Rattus norvegicus: one gene and its partners. The protein of the gene in region 2 interacts with the protein of the main gene of each other region in a biochemical or structural test. Links are inferred from orthologs where the notes say so. Each region holds a gene or a part of one and is shown on either strand. Other genes may lie near its edges.

The links.
Region 1: the proteins of Wasl (region 2) and Cdc42 form a complex in vitro, tested with the Homo sapiens proteins (3 studies listed by BioGRID). The link is inferred for Rattus norvegicus from reciprocal best matches to the Homo sapiens genes WASL and CDC42.
Region 3: the proteins of Wasl (region 2) and Pfn1 form a complex in vitro, tested with the Homo sapiens proteins (2 studies listed by BioGRID). The link is inferred for Rattus norvegicus from reciprocal best matches to the Homo sapiens genes WASL and PFN1.

The regions. Positions count from the first base shown.
Region 1 is NC_086023.1:154,873,712-154,877,754, forward strand, and holds the start of Cdc42 (cell division control protein 42 homolog), read right to left. Parts: upstream 2,801-4,043; 5' UTR 2,781-2,800; intron 2,775-2,780; exon of another isoform or gene 2,663-2,774; intron 1,987-2,662; exon of another isoform or gene 1,849-1,986; intron 1,111-1,848; exon of another isoform or gene 1-1,110. UniProt on the Homo sapiens protein: Plasma membrane-associated small GTPase which cycles between an active GTP-bound and an inactive GDP-bound state. In active state binds to a variety of effector proteins to regulate cellular responses. Involved in epithelial cell polarization processes.
Region 2 is NC_086022.1:54,056,071-54,059,570, forward strand, and holds part of Wasl (actin nucleation-promoting factor WASL), read right to left. Parts: coding exon 3,401-3,500; intron 1,780-3,400; coding exon of another isoform or gene 1,762-1,779; intron 1-1,761. UniProt on the Homo sapiens protein: Regulates actin polymerization by stimulating the actin-nucleating activity of the Arp2/3 complex. Involved in various processes, such as mitosis and cytokinesis, via its role in the regulation of actin polymerization.
Region 3 is NC_086028.1:55,863,788-55,867,958, forward strand, and holds Pfn1 (profilin-1), read right to left. Parts: upstream 2,801-4,171; 5' UTR 2,684-2,800; coding exon 2,552-2,683; intron 1,185-2,551; coding exon 992-1,184; intron 471-991; coding exon 373-470; 3' UTR 95-372; downstream 1-94. UniProt on the Homo sapiens protein: Binds to actin and affects the structure of the cytoskeleton. At high concentrations, profilin prevents the polymerization of actin, whereas it enhances it at low concentrations. By binding to PIP2, it inhibits the formation of IP3 and DG.

The sequences.
Region 1 (4,043 bases), on a different chromosome or scaffold from region 2:
CACCAAAAAAAATTTAGCAGTAAAAATAACTAGAAATGTTTCATAGATCTTAAGATGAAGAGTGGGGCAGCATAAATTAGACTCAGTGGGTCATAAAAAAGAGTAAGACTTGGGAGGTGGACATGCTGAGGGGCAGAGGAGGGAAATAGGGATGAGTATGGTCAAAATATAAAATATTTTGCATAGATGTGTGAAAATCTGAAATAAAACAATCTGTAAAACATTTCAAGTGCAAAAATATTCCTAAGAAAACAAATCTTTTGTAAAGATTTGTAAACTTTGTAAACTTGGGGATTTAGTCTTGATGGGCTTACATGGATTACTGGTGCAGGGAATGTGTTTACTAAGCACAGGTACTGTCTCAATATGAAAATATCTTGAATTTAAACAAGTGTTTAACAGAATAGAAGGCAATTTTGGGTCTTGAACAAATTACTGTTTAAAAAATACTCCTTTCAAATACTCAGTTACCAATCTCTTATGTCCTTGCCTTGTCTAAAACTTACAAATTCAAACTAATTGTGTTTTTAATTTTTATTATTATTGTGTGCATTTATGTGTACACATGCATGTGGCAAGAGTGTGAAGATCAGAAGACAGATTTTGTTTTTGTTTTTTCAAGACAGGCTGTGTAGACGAGTCTGGCCTCACACTCAGAGAGTTTGCCTCTGCCTCCTGAGCAGATTCTCTCCTTCCACCTTGGGTTCTGGGGGACCCAACTAAGGCAGTCGGGCCTGTCTGACAAGTGTTATTATCCACTGTACCATCTCACCAGCCCAGACTAGTTCAATAAAAAAAGGGGAAAAAAAATACAAATTGGTACACATGTAAACTTTTTAAATATAGGCTTTAAAAAACACAATAGTAGATAAGTACTCTCCAATTTTATATTCCTAGATGTCACATGAAGCATAACAAATTATTTGGGACGATTCAAGCTCCACACCTACAAACTACAGAAAGCCTATTTGAATCCACCACGCCAGTGTTTAACAAACAATACTGTTTTCTATACAAACGAGCAATAATGGGAAAAGTCTTGTTCAAATACGAGCCACCCTTACAGGGATGTGCTACACACTGGATCTCATTTGTTTTGCAATGTTGAAGAATACTTCAACACTAGTGTATACTATAATCAAAGGACACACAATTCTAGTGATCTAAAAGTATTACTCAAGTTTTTAGGGTTAAAAATTAAAATCAAGGGGCTGGGGATTTAGCTCAGTGGTAGAGCGCTTACCTAGGAAGTGCAAGGCCCTGGGTTCAGTCCCCAGCTCCGAAAAAAAGAACCAAAAAAAAAAAAAAAAAAAATTAAAAACAAGGGTAGCAATTTAAGTAGCTCATGCCTGTAATCCCAGCTCTTGAGAGGCAGAGACTAGAGGGAAGGTCCCTCTAAATTCAAGGTTAACCACCACTACCTATGGAGACCCTGTCTCAAGATAAAAAATCCAAAAGCCATTCTTCATGGTAAAACTAAAGCATGCAACTTTGAAGCTGCAATCCTAACAAAGACAAATCAGGTGTATAACTAAATTCTCTTTTCAGCTCACTCTTCAAACCATGCACTGAATTTGGGTTCTTTACATCAGCTAAGTCACAACTAGTGTGGCAAAGAACTGCTCCTTAAAATTCACCCGAGTACAGCCAAGGGGCCCTTTGAAGTTCATACCTACACAAGTGACTGCAGACAGTGTGTATTCCCTGACCAAAAATACCCTAAACCTAAGATTTTGAACCTTCCGTATTTCAGGTGCATCTCAGGCAGTCTGGAGACAGACAACAGGATTTCAACAAAAAACAAAAAACAAAAAACAAAAACAAAAACAAAAAAAAAAGCCACCTTACACCTTACTCTGAACTGATGTGCTGGGTGGAGTGACCCACTAAGGCCACAAGATGCTGTCTTAATTTGGTGAGCCCTGACTTGTAGGAGTTAAAACTTTCACCCCTTATGCTGCGATGACGTAATCTTCCACACTGAATATCTCCCGGAGTTAAAGGGGTGGAAAGAGGAATTTAAAAATATATAATAATAATAGTAGCAGTCAACAAAGAAATTTTCCTGCTAGTAATGAGGAACTGAGTAAGTGGCCAGGCGGGGTTTCGGGAGGTACTTAGGCAGGTCCCGGAAGGCAAAGAGGCTGGCCCCGTCAGGAGAGCCCCCGGAGCCGCGGGGCAGGAGAGGACGCGGCGCGGGACAGGAGATCGCCGAGGGGCGCAGGCGCAGAGCCGCCCGGTCCGTCACCTCGGCCCCGGCCCGGCCCTGCGGCCGCAGTTCCGCTCCCCTCCCCCGCCAGCCGCAACGCGTCCGCGGCGGAGCCCGGGAAGCAGGAAGTCGAGGCCCACAGCGCAGAGACAGCCCCCGGCCTCCGACCCCGGTCCTGACCATACGTCCCCCCACCCCGCGCCCCGGGGCCTCTAGAGCCCGCGGGCAGCCGGAGGGGGAGGGGAACGTGTGGGATGGGTGTGCCCGGTCCTCTCGCCGCCGCTGACAGCTCGGCCGGGCTGTGCCCTCAGCCGCCGCCATCCCGGGCCGCGCCTCGCCGCCATTCCGGCCCCAAACCTGGCCGCGACCCCGCCTCGTTCCCCTCAGAACCCGGGCCGGCGGGCGCACGCGAACCCGGCAATCCCTCCCTCGCGGCCCGCCGCCCGCAAGCACCGGGATGTCCCCGCCCGCGAGCGTCCACGAGAACCGAGGGAGGACGGGGGACATGGGAAGGGGACCGGGCGGCGCAGAAGACGCTCCCGCAGGGAGGCTACTCGGGCCCCGCACTCACCTCAGCTTCTCCGCCGGGGCGTTGGCAGCACTGCGCGGGGCCTCCTCGGCTGCCGGACAGGGGCACGCGCCTGACGTCAGCACGCAGGGGACGCATGGTTGGGTGCCCGCGGAAGTGGGAGGGACAAAGAGAAAGAAGGGGCTCAGGCGGCCCGGGCTCCGCCCCTTGGCGCGCACGCGCGGGCTACGTTCTTTGCGTGTTCGGGTTTGCTCTCTGCGCCTTTTAACGGTGATTTTATTCGTAATAAAACTATGAACAGAAAATGTGCACAGTTTGTAACTAAAGTTTACTTCTATTCTTGCAACTTTGTAGAGAAAATGTTGTAAATATATTTGTTGTAAACAAATATTTTTGTTTATTTTATTTAGACAGGGTGTCATTATGTAGCCTTTACTGCCCTAGAAATGGCTATGTAGACCAGGTTGTCCCAGAACACACAGCGATCCTACTACCTCTGCTCCCTGAGTTCTGATAATCCCAAGAAATGTACCACAACGCTCAAGCTGTCTCTTTTTCTTTTTGTTTTGTTTTTCGAGCCCAGGCTAGCCTGGAACTCAGAGATCCCCTTGCGTCTGCTTCGTGAGTGCTAGGATTAAAGGTGTGCATCACCATACCCAGACTATCTTTATTGAGCAACTTGAGACAGGGTCTCATTTAGCCCAGCTGGCTTTGAACACAACTGGGTAACAGGTTGATCTTGAACTGCCGATCCTCTTTTTTTTTTTTTTTTTTTTGGTTCTTTTTTTCCGGAGCTGGGGACCGAACCCAGGGCCTTGCGCTTCCTAGGTAAGCGCTCTACCACTGAGCTAAATCCCCAGCCCCGAACTGCCGATCCTCTTGCCTCTACCTCCGAAGTACTGAGATTGCAGGCACGCACCTCCACGCCTTGCCTCTTTTGCTTCTCTGAGAAGTGACTTGCTGTGCACAGCTTTCTGAAGGCCACAGGCCTCTGAACAATCTGTTTTGAAGTGAGAGCTGGACATCACTCTGGGTTTTGTTTAGAACTACAGACTTTCCCCTCAAAAAGCCCTGCGTTTACTCTGCCTGAGTGCTCTCCCCTGACCCCTTTGGTGGGATCTAAACCTCTCGAATCCTTTTTCCTATCATCTCAGCGCCTGTTTAATGGCTGTCTTCTCTGGTGGTGTACAAGCTTCAAGCTTCTGGAGAATAGAGATCCTATCCTACTTGTTAGATGCCTCCCAACATTAGAGGAAACCTCATCGGAAGAATGTTCATTTGAGGACTGGAGATGGAGCCCAGTCC
Region 2 (3,500 bases):
ATGCCAGTTACCCAAGCAGCAGCCACCAGTGTGAGGATCTTTTAAATGTTCACAAATACCAGAAGGAGAATGAGAACTGGTATTTTTAAAATTAAAAGAAAGAAAATTAACAAAGAGGAAGACATGAATGTTACAAAAAAGTATGCTTCTAATCTACACACACACACAAAATATATAATATACAATACATACATAAATATAAATAAATATCCTTGATTAATCTACAGAACACTCAATCTTATAGGAAGGGAAAAATACCTTTGTGTTCATGGCACATAAAAAGATGACATATTTGAAAATTATTATTTCAGACCAACATCAGTATTATTAAGAATACCAGTAGGTAATTATATTTCTTATGTAATAATTCTTATGTAATTTCTTATTTAATATTACAAGGTCATATAGTATTAAAGAATTCATAATACTTTTAGGAACCAATGCCAAGTTATCTCATAAAAATATAACAGAAAAATGTTATCTAGTATAAATTTATGGGAATATTGTCAAGTGCTTAAATGAATATATGATATTGTTCTCACTAATATTGCTCCACCCTTGTAGATAATTTTAATCCAGTAACATGGTTGCTCTGGCAAGGGATCATATCCGAAGACTTTATAGGTCTATATGATCCAGCGAGAATGCAGACATACCCTTAGTACACATTTTTAATTCCTAACAATGAAAGTAAGGCTAGGTTATAGAAGGAAGCAGTAATGTTTGAAAGTGTTGTCTAATTGAGGGGCAGACAAAGTGACAAATCAAAGAAGAAAATATGACAGATGAGTCAGAGATAGCATATGCCCACTCTCCCAACTCTCACGTGAACAGCACAGGGAAGAGAATCTACTTAAGAGAGCCTCTCATGAAAGAGGGAGCGAGGAGTAGGGAGGAAGAGGAGAGAAAGAGGGAGCGAGGGGGAGGGAGAGAGGAGGAGCACAGAGCAGTTAGTGGGTAGCAGTTTTACAGACAATTACAAAGAGAGCAAACTAGACACAGGAGAAGACACAACAAGCCAGAGAATGTAAAAGAGCCGGAAGAGTGGAATACACTGCCAAAGTAAGGAGGCGGCTAAGCAGAGCAATTCTGCAGGAAGCCAGTTTGAATCAGTCAGCTCGGAGGAGACTGGGCCAGCTCAGCTGAGTTTAAACAGCCAGCCAGCCAGAGTTCAGAAAAAACTAGAAAGGGTGAGCTTAGCAGCAAGCCTCTGAGATGACAATTCCATGTGGTGAATAAGAATTCTTTTGCACATCTTCCTTTTTCTAGGCAATATAGACATATCTTATACAGGTTACTGAAAAGCAAATGTGTAATCAATTGTAAAATAGTATAGTGTCAATAAAACATGAGTGCTGTGAGCAAGAGCTGTTTACTAGTAGAGAACTTCAATAAATAATCTACATTATATAAGATTATAGAAGATATTTATACTTCTAGAAATGTTTCTTTTTATTACACATGAATCTTTATGTACTGGGCGATGGAGACATGAACCTTTAATTCCAGTACACTGGAGGCAGAATAGGCAGATTTCTATGAGTTCAAGGCTAACCTCTTCTACAGAGGGAGTTGCAGGACAGTCAGGGGTATACGGTGACAGTGAAAACCAAAAACAAAAAAACTACATACAAAAACACCTTTATGATCAAAACATTAGTTTTGAGGGCAGCACATGTAAACGCTAGCTACTCAAAAAACCAACACAGCAAATCATGCAAAATTCAGAGTAGTGGTCCAAATACTGTTCCACATACATACCGCTCCACTGTGGTGGACCTGAAGAACAGATTGTTATAAGTTAATGGACTTAATACGTAAGAGCTACACATGGGGATATGATGGAAATCACAAATTTGCTTGTCTTTATAAATCTGATTTCATGATTCTATAAAATAAATGATAAAAGATTTACTAAGTAGGTTAAAACAAATTTTATTAACATCTCCATTCTGTTTTTCATATCTTTGAATACTAATTTATAAATGTGCTCACTCTAAAAAATAAATTATTAATTTATCTCTCTATAAAAAAAAATTTCCCTGGGATGGAGAGACAGTTCACTGACTAAGAGTGCGTGAACTGCTTCAGAGGATCTCAGCTCAATTCTTTTTATTTTTTTATTTATTTATTTTATTTTACTTTATTTTTTGGAGCTGAGGACTAAACCCAGGGCCTGAGCTAAATCCCCAACCCCTCAGCTCAATTCTTAACCCATGTTGGACAGCTTACTACTGGCCGATGAAACTCTGGTTCTCACCCACACCAGTTAGTACGATCTACTTTTCTTTAGGTACAAAAACCGTAAGACAGCGATGTAGATGGTCCAATAATGCTGAGTGTGACTACATGCTAACAGGCGATTAACCCTGGGCACCATGGGTGCAGCAGAGAGATCTGTCTGTCTGCCTATCTAGTCCTTAAGATCTATCGTCCTTTACCTGGATATAAGTCATGACTGTACAGCTTGGAAAACGACTAAATGTAACCACAGATGTTTTAAATCTACACCACTTGAAGGGTGACTTGCCTGCTAGTCAGATAGATCAGCCCAATCCAAGTATCTACTGAACTGGCTGTGGTTATACAGCAGCAATATGACCTGGAAGTTGTTTGCTCTCAGAGTTGGCCCTAAAGATTCTAAACCTTACTGACTACAAAAGGGAAGATCACGTTCATTAAAATGAGGGCCAGCAGTTAAAAAGCAGACAAAGGTAATTAAATACCCACTTTCAAATGACAGTCAGATGCAAGGACACTGAACTGGAGCATTAGCTCAGCTCCCTAGTGTCAGTACAAAGAGGAGACACTTGGTTCCAAATGCAGATGGTGTGTCGTGCTGACTGTGACAGCAAAGGCTACCTATTGTCCTTGCATCTGGCTGTCCTAATATTGGGAGCACCCAAAACACAAAGTTCTTTAAACTACTCAACATCCAGGTGTAAACTGTGGTCTCTGGAGCCAAGAGATTTTATTATACCCTAGCCAAAACAAAGCAAAATTTTATATTTCAAATTACAAAGATTTTACATAATTTATATTCTGAAAATGTGTTATAGAGATTACATGGTGACTTTTAGGCTAATAATCACTCATGTTTTTGTTTGTTGGAAGACAAGTCTCTCTATGCAGTTATCTATGTAGACCAGGTGGGCCTCTAAGACAGGAATTTGCCTGCTCTACCTCCCAGGTGCTGGGTAAAGGTCATCTTCCCATGTCTAGCTCAAGGCTTCTGTTATACCAAAATAATGAAAGATACAGTGACGCTGAGCTGAATTTGTCATACACAAATTCAAAGACTTTGCTCAAGGAGGGGTGCTTAGTTTTTCACCATAAAGATAATCTTAGAAAATTTAAAAGAAACAGAAAAAAAAAAAAGTCAAAATAAATCAAAAGTTACCTTGCCTTCGGAGTTCATTTTTAACAGCTTCTACACCTCCTGTTTTTTCAATAAAGTCATAAATAACTTTTGATGTTTCTCTGTCTTTAAGCTGGGCCTC
Region 3 (4,171 bases), on a different chromosome or scaffold from region 2:
GGGCCTATGTCACATCAAGACGCAGATACATAATTGAGGTGGGTCACAGTGCCTGTCTCCAACTAATGCGAAGTGCAAACCACACAGGTCCTTGTTAGTAGAATCTTTTTTTATTCAGAAAAAAAAAAAAGAACAAAACAAAAAAAAAGTAAAACAAAAATGAAACCCAAAAACAATTTTTTCCCAAACACACACAGGAGGGGGTATGGGTAGGGGGAGGTATCTGTCCATCCAGCCCCAGCCCCCAGCCCATGTGGTTTTGGCAGCAATAAGGGAAATGGGGTAATGGCCCAAAAAATAATGGTGTGTGTGTGTATGGAAAGAAGGGGGTGCAAAAGCCAAAGGGAGCGGTGGGGGAAGGGACAGATGAGGTCAGTACTGGGAACGCCGCAGGTGAGAGGCCATTTCATAACATTTCTTGTTGATCAAACCACCGTGGACACCTTCTTTGCCCATCAGCAGGACTAGCGCTGGAGGAAAGAGAAAGGAAGCTAGGACCCAGGTGTCACAATTCAACCCAGCCAGCTGTTCAGCAGCTGTCCAGCCCCGGGGGTTGTAACCTAACCTCATTCCCTCCTCCCCTTATACACAGGCAGGCTGTCAGTCACCCTAAAACAATAGAGCTTTTCAAAGAAGAAAAAAAGCTTTAAGACTAGTAAAGAAAGAACAAAATTTAGAGGTCATAGGCTTACAGGTTGTAGACTGATGTGGCTAGGAACTGCTTCCTACCTCAGGTCTTTACAGAACTCAAGATTAGAGCCAAATGCTGACTTAAGATTCCAACAGTCTACTCCCAACAAACTAATCTCAAAAAGCTCAAAGCAAGAAGACACTTAAGAGGTAATGTAGTTTCTTTACACAATGGGGATATGGGGAGCCATCCAAGGTTCCCATATCCAGCAGAGTAAATACTGTTTTGCAGCTCTGACACACATAAAACCAAGTGACTAACAGGAAGTTAGGGATTTCAAAGCCAGCGAATCAAACTTACTCTTGGCAGTCATGGTGACAGTGACATTGAAGGTGGGGGCTCCCCCGGTGCTCTTGGTACGAAGATCCATTGTAAATTCCCCGTCTTGCAGCAGTGAGTCCCGGATCACAGAACATTTCTGGCCCCCAAGTGTCAGCCCATTCACGAAAAAACTTGACCGGTCTTTGCCTACCAGGACACCAACCTCAGCTGGCTAGAAGAATCAATCACCTCATTAAGTTAGTGCACCTGCATAACTTGTCCTCTTATGTACTGTGGAGTTGGAGGTGAAGGTGTTTCATACACACCATCAAAAGTTGGGGAAAACAGTACTGTGGGTAGTGTAGAGAACGACAATGATCCTAAACTCTATTAAATGAGTCCAAGGAAGGAAAAATATTCCTTTGAAGAATTAGATTTTCATGCTTAATAGAAAAAGCAAAGAAAGAAATGTTGGGTACCAAAAACGGATCAATGATCGAGGGGGGAGCCTTTGGATGCTCAGAACAGTCCTTCAGGAAAAGCAGAAGCGGAGAGGGGAAGGGAGGGGGTAGGAAGGGAGGAGAAGTAACTTTGTCCTTATTTGGTCAAAGGTTCTGCAGGCGTTGTTAGGAGCCGGGACTCCTGGGTCTCCCGGTGAGCTAGAGTTTAGGTCTAGGTATCTATGCCCCAAGATAAGGAAGCTGACCCCTGGGGGCTTTCTAATTAAGTTTAAAAAGTTTATAAGGGCAGGAGACTAGTCTTTTGAGTCTAGACATCCCAGAGAACCTTACTCCTTCTCCCCCTTAAACCCCAAACCCCATATCCGGTACCCTCCCGCCCGGAAATCCCCTTCCCCCCATTCGAACTTCCGCTCCCCCTCCCCACTTCCGGGCAGTGTGGTCAGGGAAGGTGGTGGCAGGGACAGCAGCAGCCTTATCCCTTCACTTTTACCGTCTCAGAACTTCTCGCAAAGTTCCCCTACTCCGAGCCCTGCCGGATGGCGGGAAGGGAGGGTGAGGGGACTTCCGGGATTGGCCTCACAGGAATGTTGAGGCTAACGTGCCGAATTGGGGGTGTGTGTGGTGGCGGCCTCGCCCTCTCTAACGGAGTTGGGAGGGGCAGGGTGCTACCGAGGTCCTGCAGGGCCCAAGGCCACGCGCCTGGCGCTCCCATCAGCATAAGGGGAAACAATGGTGGAGGGAGAGCGAGCAGTCGGCCCAAAGGGGAGTCCAAGCTCCCCAAGCCCCTTATCAATCATAATCCCAGGCTAAAATTGCAGCGCGTGCCTGCCCCGCCCTGGAGGAGGCGGAAGTGGGCCGCCGCACCGGGCGACGCGCCCCTCCCCGCCCTGTGCCCCGGATGTAACGCCCCGTCGCAGAAAGCGGGGCGGCGGGCGAGATGGGCGCCGCCGCCGATGGGCGTAGAGCTTGGGGGGCAACAGAGGGACCTAGTTTCATGCAGCCGCCATTCGCGCCGCTTCAGGAAGAGGACCGGATCACGGCCTCTCGCTGCCCTCGCTAGACTGCGCCCGCCCCCACCCAAGTCTCCCAGAGGGTCTAAGCCTGATCAATGCCCCGGACCGCACAAGCCTCGCAGTACCGTAATGCTAACGAAGGTCTTCCCGGGGACAGCGGCCCAGACGGAGGGCGAGTCCTTGTAGCCTACGATGGCCGCGTCCTGACAGGTCCCGTCCGCCATAAGGCTGTCGATGTAGGCGTTCCACCCGGCCATGGCGCTGCTGCTGGGGCTGCTCTGCGGGCTGCTGCTGGGATCGCGGGCTGGGCTCGGGCTGACGGGCGGGGGAAGGCAGAGAGCTCGGGGCACGCGCTGCCGTCCGGAACGCGGCTGTGTTAGCTGTGCAGCAGCCCTCGCACCGCCACTTCCTGCTCCTCCCCCCCCTCTAGATTTTTATTTGCAAAGGGCGGCGGGGCGGGGCCTGCTCCCCATTCCCTCCCTCCGTCCCCCCCTCTTGCCAGGCCAGATAGCGAACTTTTGCAAATGCAATTTTAAAAAGCCCTCCCCCCTTTTGCAAAATTTGCCGAGTTCGATGGAAAGCCACGCGAAAGGCTAGAGTGGTGGTGGCAAGAGAGAGGCTAAGGTTAGGGCTCGCTCCAATTCGTACGGGATACAAACCACTTTGCCGCAGAAGGAGGAAACCAGAGGAAGAAGGGGGAAAAGAGGAAAATTAGTAAAATTGAGCAAATTAAAGTGGGTTCCGGGAACCCAGGGTTAAACCGAATCATTCCTCCACCCCCCAACCCCCACCTCCGCGGGAGGGAAGGAACGGCGGGCGGCGGCGGCGCGTGCGCCCGCGCCTGCGCCGGGGCAGTGAGAAGACAGCGCGTGGGGCGGTTGGGGCTAGCGGCTTGGCTGCGCGAGCGCGCGCCTGGCAGAACAGATTTGGACCTTCGTAACCGGGAAGACGCGTCCCCAGCAGGCGGGACGGGCAGACGCCCTGGGTTTTGTGGGCTGCACCCTTCTCCACATTTTACTTAAACGATAAGGGAACAAAAGTGAAATTGACATAATACTCTAGTAATTTTCAGTACTAAAGGTCTCCAACAAGGGCACCTGTCCCAACCGTCTGCCGTGGACGCACTTGGGTTCATTCGAGCGCGTCCCTATATTCCAGAGGAATCATTCCCTTCGCTGGATCCGCTCCAGCTCAGAGCCTCGCCCCATGCCTGAACCCTGACTACAGAGGTCACTTGAATAGGGGCGCCAGCCGGGTGACAAGACGGGACTCATTTTTCAAGGCGGAAGAATACTAAAGTACCAAGAATGACAACTTTTATAAGAAGAGGAAAGTCCCCTCTACTTTGGACCCATTGGGGCTTTCTTCTTTTCCCGTAAAACTTTTGCTAAGTATTTGTGTGCGATCAGGTCACTTGCCGCCGTGCAGGTCTAGGGGGGAATGGCAGGCCAGTGAGGCTGGAGGGAGTGAAGGAATCACTCGGGACCCTAGCCTCCGAGGGGCTCGGCCGCTTCCGGTCCCTCGGAGGAGGGGCGCCGGGGTATGCAGCCTCTCCCAGTGGAGGGATTTGGTTCGCTGCCTCTCTGGAGCCGGGTTAGGCTCCCTGATGTTCATCTCAAAATTCTGGCTCCCCACGACCCCCCCCCCCAGCCCTAGTTCTTCGACAGCCGCGTGGCTGAGTCACGGGCGGGGCCGCGCTGGGGCACGTGGCGGTCTGCGCCCGCCATCCCTTGACCTCTGATCTG